Linked DNA regions of Coturnix japonica. The protein of the gene in region 4 binds, or shares a complex with, the protein of the main gene of each other region. Links are inferred from orthologs where the notes say so. Each region holds a gene or a part of one and is shown on either strand. Other genes may lie near its edges. The genes, in order: SMC4, NCAPD3, NCAPG2, NCAPH2 and SMC2.

Evidence for each region.
Region 1: the proteins of NCAPH2 (region 4) and SMC4 are in contact, whole or in part, in a cryo-EM structure (PDB 9F5W), measured with the Homo sapiens proteins. The link is inferred for Coturnix japonica from reciprocal best matches to the Homo sapiens genes NCAPH2 and SMC4. Residues at the interface, in NP_689512.2 of Homo sapiens: Arg494, Ile495, Trp498, Glu499, Thr501, Val502, Leu505, Leu506, Gln509, Glu510, His512, Phe547, Cys550, Arg551, Met553, Leu554, Leu557, Gln558, Ala560, Asn561, Tyr563, Val565, Glu566, Ile567, Gln569, Leu573, Glu574, Ala576, Val577, Asp578; in NP_001002800.1 of Homo sapiens: Ile100, Leu101, Gly102, Pro103, Ile112, Gly113, Pro114, Ser117, Gln1151, Met1152, Leu1155, Phe1227, Lys1228, Ser1231, Ile1232, Phe1235, Tyr1236, Glu1239, Gln1240, Asn1253, Asn1254, Phe1256, Glu1257, Arg1261, Gly1264, Ile1265, Tyr1266, Lys1267, Thr1268, Tyr1269.
Region 2: the proteins of NCAPH2 (region 4) and NCAPD3 are in contact, whole or in part, in a cryo-EM structure (PDB 9F5W), measured with the Homo sapiens proteins. The link is inferred for Coturnix japonica from reciprocal best matches to the Homo sapiens genes NCAPH2 and NCAPD3. Residues at the interface, in NP_689512.2 of Homo sapiens: Trp22, Ser68, Lys69, Glu72, Tyr75, Tyr79, Leu82, Asp83, Ser86, Ile144, Ile145, Pro146, Leu147, Leu148, Met150, Ala151, Leu152, Val153, Asp156, Glu159, Asn161, Asn162, Asn163, Pro164, Leu165, Tyr166, Ser167, Arg168, Gly170, Leu173; in NP_056076.1 of Homo sapiens: Arg589, Pro591, Met629, Glu680, Arg683, Tyr684, His690, Lys724, Glu793, Asp800, Gln803, Arg804, Arg807, Gln817, Leu820, Gln865, Leu866, Cys867, Pro868, Ala869, Arg870, Val871, Val918, Ile925, Lys929, Leu932, Gln933, His934, Ala956, Asn960.
Region 3: the proteins of NCAPH2 (region 4) and NCAPG2 are in contact, whole or in part, in a cryo-EM structure (PDB 9F5W), measured with the Homo sapiens proteins. The link is inferred for Coturnix japonica from reciprocal best matches to the Homo sapiens genes NCAPH2 and NCAPG2. Residues at the interface, in NP_689512.2 of Homo sapiens: Pro316, Trp317, Gln318, Ser319, Leu320, Pro322, Phe323, Asp324, Ser325, Leu326, Glu327, Ser328, Lys329, Pro330, Phe331, Lys332, Lys333, Gly334, Arg335, Pro336, Tyr337, Ser338, Val339, Glu344, Gln360, Asp361, Phe362, Gln364, Trp365, Tyr366; in NP_001268861.1 of Homo sapiens: Lys248, Leu251, Gln252, His292, Ile294, His295, Leu296, Pro297, Arg299, Ser300, Val302, Lys340, Ala341, Arg342, Asn343, Ser344, Glu345, Val346, Pro388, Tyr389, Pro390, Arg393, Gly425, Glu426, Ala428, Phe429, Asp430, Thr431, Ser432, Arg437.
Region 5: the proteins of NCAPH2 (region 4) and SMC2 are in contact, whole or in part, in a cryo-EM structure (PDB 9F5W), measured with the Homo sapiens proteins. The link is inferred for Coturnix japonica from reciprocal best matches to the Homo sapiens genes NCAPH2 and SMC2. Residues at the interface, in NP_689512.2 of Homo sapiens: Glu46, Phe53, Ile54, Glu55, Leu58, Leu59, Gly62, Ser63, Ala64, Cys65, Val66, Lys69, Tyr73; in NP_001036015.1 of Homo sapiens: Leu93, Thr125, Gln128, Asp129, Cys132, Gly135, Leu136, Asn137, Met173, Tyr174, Lys177, Lys178.

The regions. Positions count from the first base shown.
Region 1 is NC_029524.1:19,680,977-19,684,490, forward strand, and holds part of SMC4 (structural maintenance of chromosomes protein 4), read right to left. Parts: intron 3,352-3,514; coding exon 3,118-3,351; intron 2,664-3,117; coding exon 2,478-2,663; intron 1,585-2,477; coding exon 1,423-1,584; intron 1,096-1,422; coding exon 870-1,095; intron 770-869; coding exon 690-769; intron 472-689; coding exon 319-471; intron 175-318; coding exon 48-174; intron 1-47. UniProt on the Homo sapiens protein: Central component of the condensin complex, a complex required for conversion of interphase chromatin into mitotic-like condense chromosomes.
Region 2 is NC_029539.1:2,131,397-2,134,910, forward strand, and holds part of NCAPD3 (condensin-2 complex subunit D3), read right to left. Parts: coding exon 3,487-3,514; intron 3,320-3,486; coding exon 3,236-3,319; intron 1,162-3,235; coding exon 1,088-1,161; intron 178-1,087; coding exon 43-177; intron 1-42.
Region 3 is NC_029517.1:8,509,405-8,513,714, forward strand, and holds the start of NCAPG2 (condensin-2 complex subunit G2), read right to left. Parts: upstream 2,806-4,310; 5' UTR 2,791-2,805; coding exon 2,644-2,790; intron 1,330-2,643; coding exon 1,234-1,329; intron 1-1,233. UniProt on the Homo sapiens protein: Regulatory subunit of the condensin-2 complex, a complex which establishes mitotic chromosome architecture and is involved in physical rigidity of the chromatid axis.
Region 4 is NC_029516.1:705,944-708,517, forward strand, and holds the end of NCAPH2 (condensin-2 complex subunit H2), read left to right. Parts: coding exon 1-8; intron 9-106; coding exon 107-160; intron 161-390; exon of another isoform or gene 391-687; coding exon 688-915; exon of another isoform or gene 916-1,009; coding exon 1,010-1,075; exon of another isoform or gene 1,076-1,151; intron 1,152-1,240; exon of another isoform or gene 1,241-1,249; coding exon 1,250-1,302; exon of another isoform or gene 1,303-1,421; coding exon 1,422-1,523; exon of another isoform or gene 1,524-1,599; coding exon 1,600-1,749; exon of another isoform or gene 1,750-1,838; coding exon 1,839-1,976; 3' UTR 1,977-2,069; downstream 2,070-2,574. UniProt on the Homo sapiens protein: Regulatory subunit of the condensin-2 complex, a complex that seems to provide chromosomes with an additional level of organization and rigidity and in establishing mitotic chromosome architecture.
Region 5 is NC_029547.1:59,016,061-59,019,574, forward strand, and holds part of SMC2 (structural maintenance of chromosomes protein 2), read right to left. Parts: intron 3,400-3,514; coding exon 3,361-3,399; intron 3,220-3,360; coding exon 3,109-3,219; intron 2,918-3,108; coding exon 2,873-2,917; intron 2,404-2,872; coding exon 2,170-2,403; intron 1,390-2,169; coding exon 1,240-1,389; intron 610-1,239; coding exon 376-609; intron 1-375. UniProt on the Homo sapiens protein: Central component of the condensin complex, a complex required for conversion of interphase chromatin into mitotic-like condense chromosomes.

The DNA.
Region 1 (3,514 bases), on a different chromosome or scaffold from region 4:
GAACATGAATACAGTTTCTATCTATAATCCCTCTCCACAATAAGTACCTTTTTTATAACTACTGAGGACTTCCTCCATTTCCTTCTGTTTGTTTTTGTCTGGAGCAGCAGCTGTTACATTTGCTTCAAGTTCTTTAACTTGGCCTTTTTGACGAATTTCTTGTTCAGAAAAACTCTACAGAAAACAGAACTGTGTTAGAATCCCATACATAAGAAAGGTCTGTGGTACTGACAAAGCTGACATGGACTTGAGGCTGAGGAGCTGTTCTCCTGCACACACATATACAAACTGGACGTTGCCTCAATGAGACTTGTTCACCTGGATAGTCGCTGTGTACTTTTCTAAAGTACTTCTCATTTCCCAGACATCTTTCTGTAGCTTTGTTATGTCTTCTTCCAGCTGTAACTTTTCTTCTCCACACTGTACTGCTCTTTTGGAATCCCTCTGCAGTTCAGATTCCAGTTTGTCGATCTACACAAAAACGAAACATGATCGCTCTCAGTGTCACCACTACAAAACACAGCAAGCACTCGTTCACATGCTGGATGGTCTATGAGCTCTTAACAACTTGAGACTTTTCTTTAGCTGGGCAGAACATGGAGGTTGCTGAGAACATCAGCAGTGTATGAATTGTCAAAACATAACAAACTTTAAAGAAATTTCATTTTTAATTAGGAATATGCACTAACCTCTTCTGGTGAAACATCAATTGCAACCGAGGAGCCCATTCTGCCCTTCATTACTTTAGTCCCACCACCAGTCATTGTTCCTAAAGCAATGAAACAGGAAGAGAAGTCAGCATGCTTTGTTTTGCTTAGATAGCACCTATGAAGTGCTGAACACATCATCAGAAGTTTACGCTTCAATACCTGACTGCTCAATGACTTCTCCTTTCAACGTTACAACCCTCCACCTTTTATCTCTTTGGAATGCTACCCTGGTAGCATCATCCAAGTTCTTAACCACCAGGGTATCACGTAACGCAAAGTAAAACGCTGGGGAGAAGGTCTTATCTTCTACTTTCACCAGGTCAATCAGCCGAGGCACATTTTCAGGAGTTGGGATTTTTGCGAGATGTTTCTTCCATACGTCCATCTACAGGAAAACAGGTAATAACGGATGAAGTAATGCAGGTTCCTTTGGACAGAGTAATGAAATGATGCCATAATGTGAGATACACTGAGGCTTTAAAGCAAATGTAGATGTTCTTTCGTGAAATGTAACTTCTCAGAATGCTGAAACTTCCTTTCTTAGGGATCTCCACTTACTTGCATTATAATTAAATATTTTGCATTTTAGCTTTACCTATGTTGATAATTAGACAGTGCAATATATTAACGTACCACATATTGGTGTGTATACAGGTATCATCGTAGGGTAACTCGACAATGTAATTTGTTTTGCCGCAGCACTAGTACTTACTTTGTCCAGGGCTATAAACGTGGCAGATCCAATTCCTGTTTTCTTTAAGAACTCCACACATTCCTGGGCAATATCGATTGTATCAACGACGATGTAGTCCAGGGCAGCACAAGATGATGAGACAGCAACGTCATACTTCTCATCGATAGCTCCCAAGTCTCCCTAAGAATTGAAGGGGAAATGGAGAGGGGGAGGCAGAAATGCTCTCATTATCTGGGCATCAATATTTTGTCTTGGTGGTGAGAGACACAACAAAACATTACAGACAATGAGATGAAAACTAATTATAACACTTTTTTTTTTTTTTTTTGCCAAATAACTTAAACCTTAGTTAAATTTTGTGAATTAAGGTCACACCCGACTTCTCCTGCACGCTGCTGTTTATGTCCTTCTCCTGTACTCAGTTCCATAATAGAATATGAATTATGCACTTAGAATTTCAAAAGCAGTAACTCTGACAAAGCACTGTGGTAGCAGTGGATTTCCTTTCTGCAGATAAATGGTACATTTTATATGCCAGTGTTTCGGTGAGGCAGTCTGGCCTACAAAATCATTTTGTCTATTCCGTGTGTGGTTCTACCATCGGTTTGCTGATAGCACCTCTCAGGTCAGAGCATTCCTGTACATGGCTCAGAAATGGTATCAGGTTATTGGAACATCTGAACCTCAGTCCTTCCTCTGGAAAGTGGTAACACAGCATAAAACAAAGCGGTGCCAGACAGCTGTGTGCTGCCACTTGAACTACATCCTTTACATTTGCCTATATCTCAGTTTTTCTAATAGACATGCATTGAGTGTTCTGAAACAGATTATATATATTATATATACTTTCGGGAGCAAGAGGGGCAAAGAAACAACAGCAGAATATACATGTATACATATATGTATATCAATATATGCATTGTTTAGTTCCAGAAAGAAAAAAGGAACAAAGAGCCCTACTTCAGCAACGTCTTCAGACCTTTACCTTATTCTACCTTTCACCTATTCACAGAAAAACTGCTCCTCCCCCATGAAGTTTAAGACAAAATCTGCAACAGCCTTTCACAACTTACCAGTCTCCCGTGTATTCCGGGAATACTCCCCGACCTCTTCTGCTCAAGCAGAGCCTCGAGCACTTTTCCTCGACTGCGGTGCTGTGCTAAAGAACTTTTGGCTTCTTCTACTTTTTGACGGAGATTTCGAACAAGATCCTGAGTGCTCAGTTCCTCTTCTTTAAGCTTCTCAAGCTTTTTCTCTTTCTAATGGGTACAAGAGCAGTGTCAGCCACAGGAAACCTTCTCTACTCTAGGACGTGGATTCATGGTAGTGTAAGCAGTGAATGCAGCCACAGGAAAACTGAGGTAGCAAAACATTCACCACAATGGCTGTTATTTGCACACTTGGAAACAGATACAACAGCTTCTGCATGTATGAATCAGGCTTACACAGAAGTATCAGGATTTTCCTTTCTACAAGGGGGGAGCATGAAGTGAAGTTCAAATGGCTCAGAAACAGCTATTCATTTATTCTACCACATCTAATTATTACATTTAAACCGGTTTCCTTGTAGAGATGCATGGGATTTAATTTCCCATGCTTCATGTTAATATTTTCTTAAACCAAAATAAGCTTAAAATCAGATACTTAACTTCAGTGGTTAATTAAGTATCTGAATGTAGTTGTTAAATGCCACGTGTGAAAGCTAGGTCTCACCTCCTTTAATTCCAGTTCAGCAGCAGGTAACTTTACTTCTATATCTTTAATAGCAGCCTTCCTTTGCTTAATAGTTTCAGAAGTATTCATCAGAGCCTCCTTTGCCTGGTTTAGCTGAGACACAGCAGAGTTATAGCGGGTGAGGTAGATATCGAGTTCTGCCTGCGCTACATCCATCTTTGAACGCGCATCATTCACCGTCTTACAAAACTCCATCAGCTCTTTCTCTTTGCCCTGCAAAAATGGATGTTACCAATCAAAACTCACCTGTGGGATTTACTGTATCAGTCATGCTGTGTGAAAGGTTCTTTTACTAGCAGGAAACAGATACAAAAGCCGTTCAATAGAAGAACAAATATATCTACATGATTTGGTTAACATATTCTTTATGGAAGCA
Region 2 (3,514 bases), on a different chromosome or scaffold from region 4:
CAACATTTCAGCCATAAGAATTGGTGTTGTTCATTTCCTCACCTCGAGGAGTTCTGTCACAGACTGCAAGGCCTGTTTCCGCACAGAGACTGCGGGGTCCCGGCAACGGTCCTGAAGAGTGGACAAATCTTCTGCAGTGCAAGGGATTGCTTTGTGCTTCAGGATGTTTGTAAAAACCTGCAGGTCAAAAAACAGCATGAGTTCATCGGGAATACGAGCCAGGATGCATGGGGAAATTAATCAGAAATAGATCAATCCCTAATTTAAGTCAACAGGGAATAGAATGTATCGCAATGAAAGGGAAACATAACATTAGTAATTTCTAAGTACCGGGCAGAACTTGATACAGAATGCTAAGAGAACTTCTCAGTCCTTCAGATTTTATAAGAGAATTCTGCATTGAGTCAATGCCACAACTCCCCCTTGAAGCCAATGTTTCTCTTGTTATGACCTACATCTTTCACCTGCCAATAAGAGGGAAAAGAATTGAAAACCTCACAACAAAACAGTCAGAAACCCTTAACCTGAGGTGTTCTCATCCTGATTTATCCTGGAGGGGAAGAACTAAGGGAAAGAGGACTAACAGGGAGAAAGGCAGTCAACAACAGATCCGTATCCTATAAAACAGTGAAATTCACATTGAAGAAGATACCTTTCAAAGTTCATGACTTAATTAATTAAAATGAAGCAAGCAGAAAAGCAGTGCATCCCTCAAAATGATGCCAGATATAGCCCAAACTCTTGCTAACAAGGTAGAAACAAAGCACCTCTTATGCCCCAGTTTGTAAGGAAGTCGCTTAAGTTAAATACCTATTGACATTTGGAAAGAGGCTCTTTCTCTAAATGATGGAATAAGTGAATGCCAGCAAAAGAGTACTAGAATGTTATTTCTTCCTTGCATTATTTACTTATCAAGAACTAGCAAAAATGACCTTTTTAAGGACTGAATGCACTCGGTGGGAATAGCAAGAAGCTACAGCTGGGCAAACTTACATACAGTTCACTGCAGTACTACAGCTCAATTATTTGTTCCAATGGCATTCTGTGTAATCATGCAGAACAAGAAATCATGCAAAGAACACCATACCTGGAGAGCAGATTTCCTCACAGTGGTTTTCTCATCTCCAGCTCTCAGCCTCAGCAGGGCCATGATTTCTTTTCCTATCCAAACCCAGGATAAAAAGAAGTTATAACACCCACCCAGACCTCCTCTGTATGCTTTGCAGAGCTCAGTTTGTTGCCCAAGGTTTTCAGGAGCAAGAGATGAGGGCTGAAAGCACAACAACAACTAACTGAAAGAATGTGGGTTCTCCTTTGCAGCTGCCATTCTGACAAGGGGAAGAAAAACCCAAAGTTCTTCTATCTTGAAAATAAATCATAGGACATAACACAAAATCTGGTGATATACCAAATCATTTCATACACAGAGCAAAAAGGAATAATCTGTAACTCCCAGTTCTTTTATTTCTGTATATAAAAGGTATCAGGCTGCCTTCAAAGCTGGAAATTAAGTTTTCCTAAGGACATTTTGAACTTGCAAATACAGAAACCTGTTACTTTGAGAGATTCATCTGGAGATCTACCATGTTTCCATTAAGAGAAACAATTAGTCATTGGGAACCAATAAATATAGGGTCTAAAAGTAGGCTTTTTTTAATCAAATGAAGCTAAGGGATTTCAATCTGCATGACTAGTGCTTTCTTAGTAGGCAGGTAACTGCAACTGAGTCTTTCTCCTGAGAATAGCTTGACAGAAAAAGCACACAACCTTTTCTTTGCAAGACACTGCCAAGAGAACAGTCATGCTGCTATTGCAAAGGTAACCAAATCTGCTAAAGTGATCAACCTTGGCCAACTGTCATGGATTTCTATGCATAGTGGCATAGGGAAAAAAACAAACAAGCCCTGAGATCTAAATGGCTGAGAACTAGCAAGAGAAACTAGCAAGGGAATAGAGTGTTTATAGGCTGACAGGCACTGCATACTCTATAGAGTATACTTCACCCTGCAGATTATCCCTACCAGTCTTATCTTTGCCCTTGTGCATTTTGCAAGTTCTGAATATCCTCAGCAAAGATTTATTTTGCTTCTAAAAGACAAGCTGTTTGGTCTTCATAGAAGTGCAAAATTAGCACAGGCAGAAGCCAAACAAGTGTGTGCCAGACAGCTTTGCTAATGCACCTTGACTGGCTCTGAGAAGCCTGTTTTTTAGCTATCCTCTTGAGCCTCAGACAGCCCTTTTTGATCCAATCCTTTGCTTAATTTGTTTTGCCAAGTGCCAAGCGGCTCAGCTGGTGTATCAGATAACAAAACCAGGCATCCTCTGCCACACAGAGCCTGCAACTGAACAGGGAATACACAATACCTTCAGTGGCCTGAGGATATTCTATCTTAGAGAGCAGATTAATGAAATTTATCAGCAAAATGTTTTGAAAGAAAGCTTTCAATAGAGAAGATAGGAGCCTGGTTCATGAAGATATGGAGGGATCCCACATGAAGAGCAGCATGAGAAGTGTAACAAAGACACAGAGGCAGGATGCGAGCTAAGCAGTAAATTGAATTGTCAGCAGTTCAAGAGAGGTGAATAGCAACAACTGAGAGCGAAGACACAGACAGAGGCCTAAATGTGAGGACTCCACATTGAAGAGGAAGAGATTCAATGAAATATCACAGCCACGAAAGCCAACTTTTGTGCTGATTTCATGCCATTAAGGAATCAGATCTAGCACACTGACGTTGCAAATCAGTCCATTTAACCTCCCACTTTGCTTTTAACATCAGCCAATACCTGGTGCTGCTGAGAATTAAATGCTTCCCTGCATAACAGTGCCAGTCAAAGGTGCTGTGTTTTATGCAGCAAAAATACATCCATTCTTTGTGCACTGAAGCAAGAGGTTTAATTACCCTTAAATCTATGGAGCTACAAGTACTGCATCCCACATCAATTAGCATCCTTTTGGGAAAGTATAAATTATCTGCTTTGCAATGAGTATTGCTACCACATTAATACAAATGAACACCAGCATTTCACAATTAAATGTATTTCCCAAATTTAAGTGGAAATGGCATTTCCATACAGCAAGCACTTCCACCCCTTCACCACCTGTGTTTTTTAACAGCTCTCCAGAAAGATCTCTCTGCTCTTTGAGAAATGGTCAGCGAACAAGATTCAGAAAACATAATTGTAATCGAAGTTCTGAAGAGCTATCTGAAAGGCTGCTGTAACTGTGACATACCATTCACCATGGCAGCACTGCTGCTGTTTGTCAGCTCAATCGTTTTGAAGCTTGGTAAGGTCTTCAGCGGATGGTTGGACGTAGCTGGAAGAAAAGTTAAAAGCTTAAGAACTGAGCATACATTCACTCCACGTGATTCACCATTAAATAGAGAGCTGCACACATGTCCCACGTTTTATGGATACACATATTTTTAGAAAGCAGCACGCCAAGAAAAGCCTGAGACTTATCATAAGAGAATGACTCCGCACCTTCTTCACTGAGCATCAAACTGGCACT
Region 3 (4,310 bases), on a different chromosome or scaffold from region 4:
CAGGATTTAGTGGAAAAATGTAACAGTGCCTGATAATGACAGTGATACTTAACACAACAATATAGAAATGTAATCTTTTAAAAACAAAGAAAAGTGAAAAGCCCAAGGCAAATCACAGAGAGAGAGCAGTGAAACCCCAGAGTTTTAGAACTGAATGAAACAAAGCAAGGAGAGAAGGGAAACAGGAAACTAAAGCAGGAGAAGGGGAAGAATAGAAGTACTGCTTGATTGAAGTTTAGCAGCAAAGACCACAATGTCAAAAAGGCAAACGGTGTATGCAACAACCAAGTGTTAAGAAAATCAGCATGTCTATAGCACTGTGTCATCTCAGATCCCACACCTTCACAGAATCACAGAATTGTAGGGGTTGGAAGGGACCTCTAGAGATCATCGAGTCCAACCCCCCTGCCAAAGCAGGCTCCCTACACCACATCGCACAGCTCGGTGTCCAGGCGGGTCTTGAATATCTCCAGGGAAGGAGACTCCACCACCTCCCTGGGCAGCCTGTTCCAGTGCTCCGTCACCCTCACTGTAAAGAAGTTCTTCCGCACATTTGTGCGGAACTTCCTATGCTGCACTTTCATCCCATTACCCCTAGTCCTATCCCCACGCATTAATGAAAAGAGACCAGCCTCGCCACCACGGCTCCCACACCTCAGGTATTTATAAACCTGGATCAAGTCCCCTCTCAGCCTTCTTTTCGCAAGGCTAAACAGACCCAGATCACTTAGTCTGTCCTCATAGGAGAGATGTTCCAGGCCCTTTATCATGTTTGTGGCCCTCAGCTGGACTCTTTCCAGACGATCCCTGTCTGTTTTGTACTGGCAGCCCAGAACTGGATACAGTACTCAAGATGAGGCCTCACCAGGGCAGAGTAGAGGGGGAGGATCACCTCCTTCAACCTGCTGGACATGCTCTTTTTAATACACCCCAGTATGCCACTCGCTTTTTTGGCTACAAGGGCACACTGCTGGCTCATAGTCAATCTGTCATCCACCAGGACGCCCAGGTCATTCTCTGCAGAGCTCCTCTCCAGCAGGTCTTCCCCCAGCCTGTACTGGTGCATGCAATTATCCTTGCAATGTGCAAGGTGTTACTGGCACATGCAATTACCTTGATCAACTACAATCCACTTGCAGGTGTCAGAGAAGCAACTTCTATGCCAGATATCCCACGCACCAATAGCAGGCTTTAGACTTTAATAGTCATACACACACATCATGGTTTACTTACAGAACTTTGAGTGAAACGCAAGAAATCCTCCACTGAGTTCTTAGACACAGCTTGTAAAAATGCTTCACGTTTCATTGTGCTCTTGTTTCCCCTTGCCTCATAAACAAAAAATAAGCAATAAAAGTATGTTTTACTTGCATGTTGGAGAAAAGTACCGTATCTCAAAGTGTTACCACTTCATGGTTACAGTGAATAACATACGAAAATACATTCTTTACCTACACGGTTATAATGGAATTATATGATTAAGGCTGTTAAGACCACATCCAGTCCAGTCACCAACCCACCCCCACCACGCCCACTGACCACATCCCTCAGTGCCACATCCACCCTCTTCTCTTATACCTCCAGGGATGATGACTCCACCACAGAATCACAGAATGACCCGGGTTGGAAGGGACCTCAAGGATCATGTAGTTCCAACCCCCCTGCCTGGCAGGGCCACCAAACATACACATTTACTAGATCAGGTTGCCCAGGGCCCCGTCCAACCTGGTCTTGAACACCTCCAAGGACGGGGCATCCACAACCTCCCTGGGCAGCCTGTTCCAGGGCCTAACCACTCTCCTAGTGAAGAACTTCCCCCTAACATCCAACCTAAATCTTCCCTCTTTTAACTTAAAATCATTTCCCCGTGTCCTGCTATTGTCAGCCCTTTCCAAGAGTTTACTCCCCTCCTGGGAGTAAGTTCCCTTCAGGTATTGAAAGGCTGCTCCCTGGGCAGCCTGCACCAGTGTCCAACTGCTCTTTTAGAGAAGTCTTTCTAGACATCCAACATGACCCTCCCCTGGCACAACTGAAGGCCATCACCTCTCAACCTATTGCTGTTACCTGAGAGCAGATGCTGACTCCAGCTCACCACAACCTCCTTTCAGGCAGCTGTAGAGAGCAATAAGGTTCCCCCTCAGCCTCCTCTTCAAATAAAAGATGCCCACCCGGGTACATTAGTTAACTAACTCAACACTGGCTAACTCACAGCTTGGCAGTGGCACTAAGCCACACTGCTCTCTCCTTTTTATTTTTAATTAAACAAGGCCTGAAAAGAAAGCTTGGAACATCGTAGCTGACCACTTCACCTTAAACAGAAATAGCATCACCAGCACGAACACCCTATTTACCCAGCCACCATTCCAAACAGACGCATTTCCTCACACGAAAAAGCATCTGGAAGGCAAAATATCGACCCCTTTTCCTCCTGTCAAACGAGGATAAGGTGGAATCAAGCCACTTTCTGGCTCTAAGCGCTTCATTTTGTACTACAGCCCATCACCCATCCGCGATCCCCCGTTCATCTGGGCGGGAATCCTGAGTTCCTGTTGTTCCACAGCTCTGACTCTGCAGAAAGCCGTCCCAAACACACTGCCCAGAAGGAGGTGACATGAGGAGGAGGCACACAGGCCTCTTACCTACCTGTGGCGTTCCCAAACACGCCTGCCTGTCTGTAAAGGAGGAATAAAGAAAGGCAGCGGCACCCGCCCGCCCTCTCTCTGAGGCCCCGCCGCCACGTTCGAATCGTCCCGCGGCGGCCGTTGGGCGCCAGTGCAGCCGAGTTCTCATCGCGCGAGAGTTGGGAGTGTCCGCTGTGGGCGGGAGCGATGCGCTCCCTCAGAGGCAGTGCGGTATATGAATAATGAGAGGATAAATATAGGTAAATAAACGGCGTTTTTACCTTTTGGCATGTGTCTGAATGGAGCCTTCGTGGCTGTGGCCAGGTGATATTTGCATCTCGATAAGGTGGTGTTTTGATAACTCAGAGTTTTATTCGTATTCCTACACTTTGCGTGGTTGGAATCAAAGTAAGCATAAGCAGCCTTCAAATCTAGTCGTGTTCTCCGTTCCACTCACAGATTGTAACGTTTCATGTCATACAGGCGACTTACTGACTTATGCCATTACTTTTTTTAAGCTTCTGAGTAAATTATTTCTGTATTTTTACAGTCTGAAGACTAAAAACTAAAGAATTGGCTTACTATATGCTTATTCCATACAATTAATGCTATTCCATATAGGTTTGAGATGTAACAGATGACTGACATTACTGAAAACAGGTAAAATATGGTTTCATTTCCTGAGTCAACAGCCAAGTGCACGTACAACTTCTGAAGTAACTTGGATTTAAAATAAGTAAGAGATTAAACACCCACAGGGGAATAGGTGACATTAATTATGATATGGATATGATGATGGAATCAGATTTACTCAAGGAAGGGACAGTATGACAGAAGGTGTTAGCAGACAAAAAGCTCATCTTGCCCAGCACTCCTCAGCTCTGCCTGAACCCAAAGAAGTACATCCCTCCTCACAGCGCTTTGCATGTAGGCAAAGACTCATCATCTTTCAAGTGTGGAAAAGGCCACTCAGTGAATACCAACATCAACCAGCCCACATCCAGAGAAAGGTCCCTGCAGAGGCAGATCTCTGACCTCTAAACCCCACCAGGTGGGGACAGCCAGATGTTGGCTTCCAGAAACCAAATACCACAAGAAGGGAATATTTTGCTACCCTGAAGAAAAGGGTCAGGCATTAAAGCATGTTTCAGATCCTGCCTTTGTTAAGCTTCTTCTTGCACTTAGTGCAAGAAGCCAGTGAAGCAGTTTGCTTGAAATAAGTTGCGTGAGCAATTATACTTGCTGAGGAGCAAAAGTACATAAAAAAAAAGTATGAAAACTGACATTTCTGCGTAGTGCTAACGTCTGATTTTTTGCATGCATTAAGAATCTTTGACATTTTTGATACAAACTGATTGATTTGTTTATCACGTCTCTTGTGTGGACTGAATATTTCATTAATACCTTGATTAGGCTTTAATTAAATGCCGCATTAGTCACCTGGTTACAGTTTATTTAGTCAGGCACCTCTCCATTTAGCAAATGAACTACAACATATTCTAGCTTACAATTCGTGTCGCATAGCAACCACAAAATGATTTTTTCACGGTCTTGAAGCTAAAAGTTGACACAGGTAACGACGGGCTGGTAACACTGATCCATTCTAAAGAGCCACATCTAAAAGCACAGAGGCAGAATAGGGTTGTGTTGGTTTTATTCAAGGATGGTGCTTGAGCTGCGAGCTGGTAA
Region 4 (2,574 bases):
TGCAACCTGTGAGTGTTACAGTCTGACCTTACCTGGCTGCTGCTCCCTGCTCTCCTCAATGGGCTGCACCTGTAGGGGTTTCTAAATGCAATCCTGTTCTTCTCAGACAACAACGGTGCTGACTGCAGGAAAACCAGGAGGAAAGGGCCGACGTTTGCTGGTGAGAAGGGCAGGGTGGGCTGAGTTGGGGTTCAGGCTGCAGCCATATGCAGGGCTCCAGGTGCAGCAGTTGTGCTGTGAAGCCCTTGTTGGGGTTGGGTTTGCATTGGGAAGAGGCCAATAATCCTTATCTGGGGTGACAGATTATTGGGGTGACAGTGGTTGCTCTAATAGAGCAGTGTGAGGGCTGAAGCAAAGGACGTGGGAGGAATAAGCAGTTTTACAACTTAAAATGGATGAGGATTGGTCGTGTTTAATGTTCACAACACTGAAACCTGTGACTTCCAGTCCTGCAGCCGTTCCTCATTCAAAAAGCAGCCTTTAAACATTGTTATGCAGAGCGTTGCCCCCTTCTTGCTGTGCAAAACCTCTTCTGCATTCAGGGGAGCTCCCAGCTTGTTGGTGCAGAGAGAAGGATGGGTGCTAAGGCAGCCCCAAAACCACACTGTGGAACCCAGGAAGCCTCGTTCTGTATCAGGGGATGCAGGTTGGCAGTGCTGACCTGTGCTTTGCGTTGTGTCTGTGCAGATCTGGAGGCGCTGTACTGGAAGCAGCAGCAGGAGCGGCTGGTGGCACAGAGGAAGCTGCAGAGCAGGATGGTGAGCACGCAGATGGGGTTGGAGGGTGGTGGGAGCCGCGCTGGCTGGGGACTCAATGCTTTTCCCCAGGGGCCACCCTTGTTACTACGGCCAGAGCATGAAGAGGAGGAAGAGCTGAATGCACCGGAGCGGGATGATGGGGATGGAGAAGCAGCAGGTATTGCTGAAGTCTCTGATCTCTCTGAAGTCTCTGAGGGCTGAGCTGCTGCAGGAGCTATGGGGGTCCTTAGCACAGCCTGCCCTTCCTGCAGATGACTTTGTGGAGCATGAAGACATCCAAGAGGAGGATGTGGAGAATCTAGTGGAGAAAGCCATGGGTGAGCCCTGGGGGAGCTGTGAGGGCACCCCATCCTTCAACCACTGCAGTGCATCCTGAGCAGCTGTGTGTCCCACCTATGGGGAACAGATGTGCCTGTCCTCACCTGGAGGCACAGGGCCAGGCATGCAGTTCCCCCCCATCCCATCACACTGATAACACTGACCTCTCACAGCTCCCTGTGACGTGGATGCGCTGAGCTATGAGGAGCTGGTGAGGAAGAACGTGGTATGTGTTGTGCCCGAGCTCAGGGCAGGGACAGCGAGGGCACAGCGGGTGCTGTAGGTGTCCCTCATCCCCACACTGTCCTTGTTCCCATCTTGTTCCACATCCCTTGGTCCTTGCAGGAGCTGTTCATCGCCAACTCCCAGCGGTACGTACAGGAGACGGAGCTCTCCCAACACATCCGCCTTTGGGAGGAGAAGATGGGGCCGGCGCTGCAGGAGCAGGTAAAGCTGCAGGGGGAACAACAGTGGGGCTGGATGGGGGAGGCAGAGGGTCAGCACTGACCCCGCTGTCATGCAGGAGGAGCGTACGGCCTTCGACATCCACAGCTACGGGGACAGGCTGGCAGCTCGATTCGGCAGCCTGGGGCAGTGGCAGTCCTTTGCCAGCCTGGTGGCCGGGCTGCCCCCCTTCGAGGTGTGCCGCTACATGCTGGCCTCATTGCAGCTGGTGAGTGTGGGGCCCTGGGGGTGAGGGGGGGGGAAGATGGTTGGATATGGGGGGTAGGGCTTTGCTGCAGCCCCTGCTCCTCTCCCCAGGCCAACGACTACACGGTGGAGGTGGCGCAGGCCCCGGGGCTGGAGGAGGCCGTGGACACGGTACGGCTGCGGCTGCTCACAAGAGAGCGGGCACACGAGCGCTTCCGCACCTACATGGCCCCCTCAGCCTGCGAATGAGCCCCTCACCCCATATAAACCCCCCCCTATTCCACTCTGTACAGCCCCCACCACCCCACAGCTCTCAGCAATAAACCTCCCGACTTTAGTAAAGGCGGCCTCGTTTTTGGTGACGTGAACAAAGCATCCCTATGGGCTGGAGTGGGTTATAGGGAAGCTTCTTGCTGCTATGGGGACTGCCCCCCATGCAGGCAGAGCCTTTTGGGGCTGCAGCTTCCCTGTGGGGGCTGCCCCCTGTCCAGGCAGAGCCCTGAGGGGCTGCAGCTTTCCTTTGGGGCTGTAGCTTCCCTTTGGGGGCTGCTCCCCATCCTGAGACCTTTGGGGCTGCCCCACGTCCAGACAGAGTCCTGTGGGGCTGCAGTTTCCCTTTGGGGGCTGCCCCATGTCCAGGCAGAGCTCTTTGGGGCTGCAGTTTCCTTATGGGGGGGGCTGCCCCCCATTCTAAGCCCTATGGGGTTGTAGCTTCCCTTTGGGGCTGCCTCACGTCCAGACAGAGTCCTGTGGGGCTGTAGCTTCCCTCTGGGGCTGCAATTTCCTTTTGGGGGCTGCCCGAGAGTCCTGTGGGGCTGCAGTTTCCCTTTGGGGGCTGCCCCCCATC
Region 5 (3,514 bases), on a different chromosome or scaffold from region 4:
AAAACAACCACAGCAAGTTTCCTATCTTAAGAAGGATGCGACATGTTTCAAGTAATGTGACTAGCATAAAATGTAATAGAGTAATTCCTCCCAAACTCCCTATTCAGACACACTTGATCCTGCTAGTTAAATACAGACATACTTTAATTTCCTATTCTAAGCTTCCTATTTTACACTGTCAGTCATCTGTATACCAATTGCTGTATTTCTTCAAGGCAATGTTGTAACTTTTCCTTATGTTGGCTCAAGGACTTCCCTGTTTTAAACAGCCTGCTTAATTAAAAAAACCTTACATTTTTTGGCCTATGCCAAAATACTTTGCATATATATTCTATAATTTTCCCAACAGTGCATCAAGAGAGCTCTGACTCTTACCTGTTTAGCCTCTGTTACTGCTTTGCTAATTTCATTTTTGCAGGTCATCATCTGGTCAGCAAGAGAACTTCCTCGACCACTGACATTGCTAGACAGGCCAGCAGATACACCATTAAAATGCTGTTGTGCTGTGGCTAAAGCTTCTGCACCTTTTTTACTTTCCTCCTGTAAACCATTTAGATCTTCCTGTATACTCTTTATTTCCTTTTCCTTTGATGTTATCGCTTTAAATTCCTTTAGCAAAAAAACAATAATGATACATAAAATCAAACAAAAAAACAACCCCTATTAACTTAAAGTTTATGTTGGTAAATCAGATGATGTACAGCTATGATTAGTTTCACTGATCAAGATTTTAAAACCTTTTGTCAGCTTTTTTGTTTTCACAGCCTGTTTTTACATACTTCAAGCGTGCACCTGCTCATTGAGGACACTCAACACAACATGTACAGAGAAAAATGAAATAGAGGAAAAAATGATAACTGCACAACCAGGAAAAGCAGCTCTCTGTAAAGTATTTAGTGTTCCTATTTAAGAGAAATGAATTAAATGTCAAGAGCATGAAGTAGATGTTTTTCCTTTAAGTTTAGCAGGTTTCCTGAACGCAGTTGGGATCTCCTCCCAAAATTAAAACAAAGTTGTCAACAGCAGAGCTGGACTTCCTTCATAAATACATCTTATTTGTTTTTAGTGGCAGTCTACTAACTGTGCCATACAAATCAAGTAACACCACTTATTATTTGTTTCTGCCCTCCTGTTGCTATTCCTTCCCATCAACCTTGAAAAGATAATAAAAACCTGCTGTCCCAATGCACACCGAACTACATCAGTGCTTAAAAAGAATAACATAAACAAAGGGCTTACCTCCTGCATGACTTTAGTCAATTCTTTATGCCTTTTCTTTTCACCACTTAAGTTTTTCTTCTTGTGATCAAGATCACTGCGGACTTTAGCATCAACTCTTTGGAGTTCTGAAAGAGCAGCTTCCAGCGACTGTAACTTAGCACCAAATTCCTAAATTCAGAAACAATGGAAATTTTATGTATACTGTTATCCAATATTTAAGATTTCATTTTCTGATCATAGCTATACATAGGAGATGCATGTCTGATGAAGCAGATAGAGACTCCAAAACAAATGGGCTAAAACCTCTTCCCACAGAAGTCCGTACTAATTTGAAGCCACTGCTAGAGCCCAACTGTAGTTACTGAGAAACTCTGTCCTTGCAGGGGAAGTGTAGGAGTTGCACTTAAGAATGAAAAGATGCTGTGGGATACTCAGTACATAACTACTTTTTCTACCTCTGTATCTGAGGTCACTAGTGATTTTTGTATTTCCCACTGCAAGTGCATTTCATCTGAAATGGACAAAAAAAAAAAAAAAAAAAAAAAAATTAAAAAAAAAAATCAGATAAAGTTTTCCACTGAATACACAGAGTAGAAATATGAGGGAAAAGTGTTATCATCTTAAATCACTCAGTCTCACTCCAATGCCTGGCAAAATTGTTGATATTATTTGGGAATTTACTGAATAGGAAACTGATCCTTGAAGGTTTCTCTTGGCTTGGGATATTCTGTGATTTACAGCAGTTGGAAATACAGTATTTCAGACATTAAAACTTTATAGACACCCCCGTTTAGGGAATGACTACTATTGAGTAAGCGGTGTATAATCTAAACAATTCACCATAGAAGGAGTAAAATCTAAGTGCATACCATCTACAAAAATAATTTTCTTCTCACATACTTCCTTCTATTAAGACTTTCAGGTGAGCGTATCTGGGTTCTCACTTACCTTATTGTTTTTCTTTTCCATATCTTCTATTTGTTGTGCAAGTTCCTTTACCTTCTCCTCATTCACAGCCATTAATTCCAAATTTTTCTTCTTATTTTCATTTGCTTCCTTTAAAGCGTTAGTAGTCTGATCTTTTATCTCTTCAGCATGGATATATTGAAAAGCCACACAGACGCGTTTTAAATTCTCCATTTCTCGTGTTATTTTTTGGTACTCTAGATACGATGCACGTGCCTGAAAAGATATAGGTTGAAAGAAAATAAGGGTTAAAATTGGGTGAAAGAAAATTAGGGTAGTACTGTTATAGAATATTATATGTAATATGAATATAATATATAACGTTCAGTATTGTACACTGCAAACCTACTTAAGAAAATTCTAGATGAAGCTGTACTAGTGCAGTTGATTGTATAACAGAAACTCCACCTGAGGCAAGTTTAACAACTAAGACAAGAATTTAACTTCTATGTTTTCTGTTTCTCTCATTTGCTTATTGTTCCCTATGTCCCTCTCCCATATATCTTGTAATTCCTGCAAACCACACTGTCTATATTTGGATAGGTGATAAATTTTACATCACCTAAAAGATTCTAAAAAGGCTGAAAAAATATCACGTCCTATCTTCCACATACCAGTTCAAGTTATTTGAAAGTATTTCTTCAGTACTTTAAAGCCTCTTACCACTTCTCCAAATATTCCATACCTCTTTCAGTTTCTCTAGACTTGGGCTGATCTCTTCAGTTATGATCTGAAACACAAACCAGAACATTGGTATTCAGATTTTTAAAACACATGTAGCATTAATATCTGCACATAGAGAAACATATAAAGAAAGGAAATAGTTTACAAGTAAAAACAAAAACAAAAAAAAACCCACCCTGTGCTAGTAATCCATTATCTTTAGCAAATAAAGCACACACTCCCACATATAGTACCAACCCTTCGAATTTCATCCAGTTTGGCTTCCTTCTTCTCTATGGTCTTCTGGGCAGTCATTTTCTTGCATTCATACATCCTGGTACCCGCTGCTTCTTCAATCATAGATAGAATCTAGAATAAAATAATTTGACAGAGTTTTAATGATTTTTATCATGTCAAGTTGGTTCAACCTAAAGCAAGCTTAACATGTTATCCCTCTATAACACTTTCTTATCCAGAAAGAAAAAAATAAATAAGTCATAGTTCTCTCACCTCCGTTGGCTTCATATTTAGAACTTTAGTAATTCGCCCCTGGTTAAAGAAAGACAAAAGGAAAATTACAATTGTGTACCATGCTATAGTAGTAAAAAATAAATTAAAACCCCCATACTCATTTTAAACACCAATTGCTAACCTTTCTTTATTA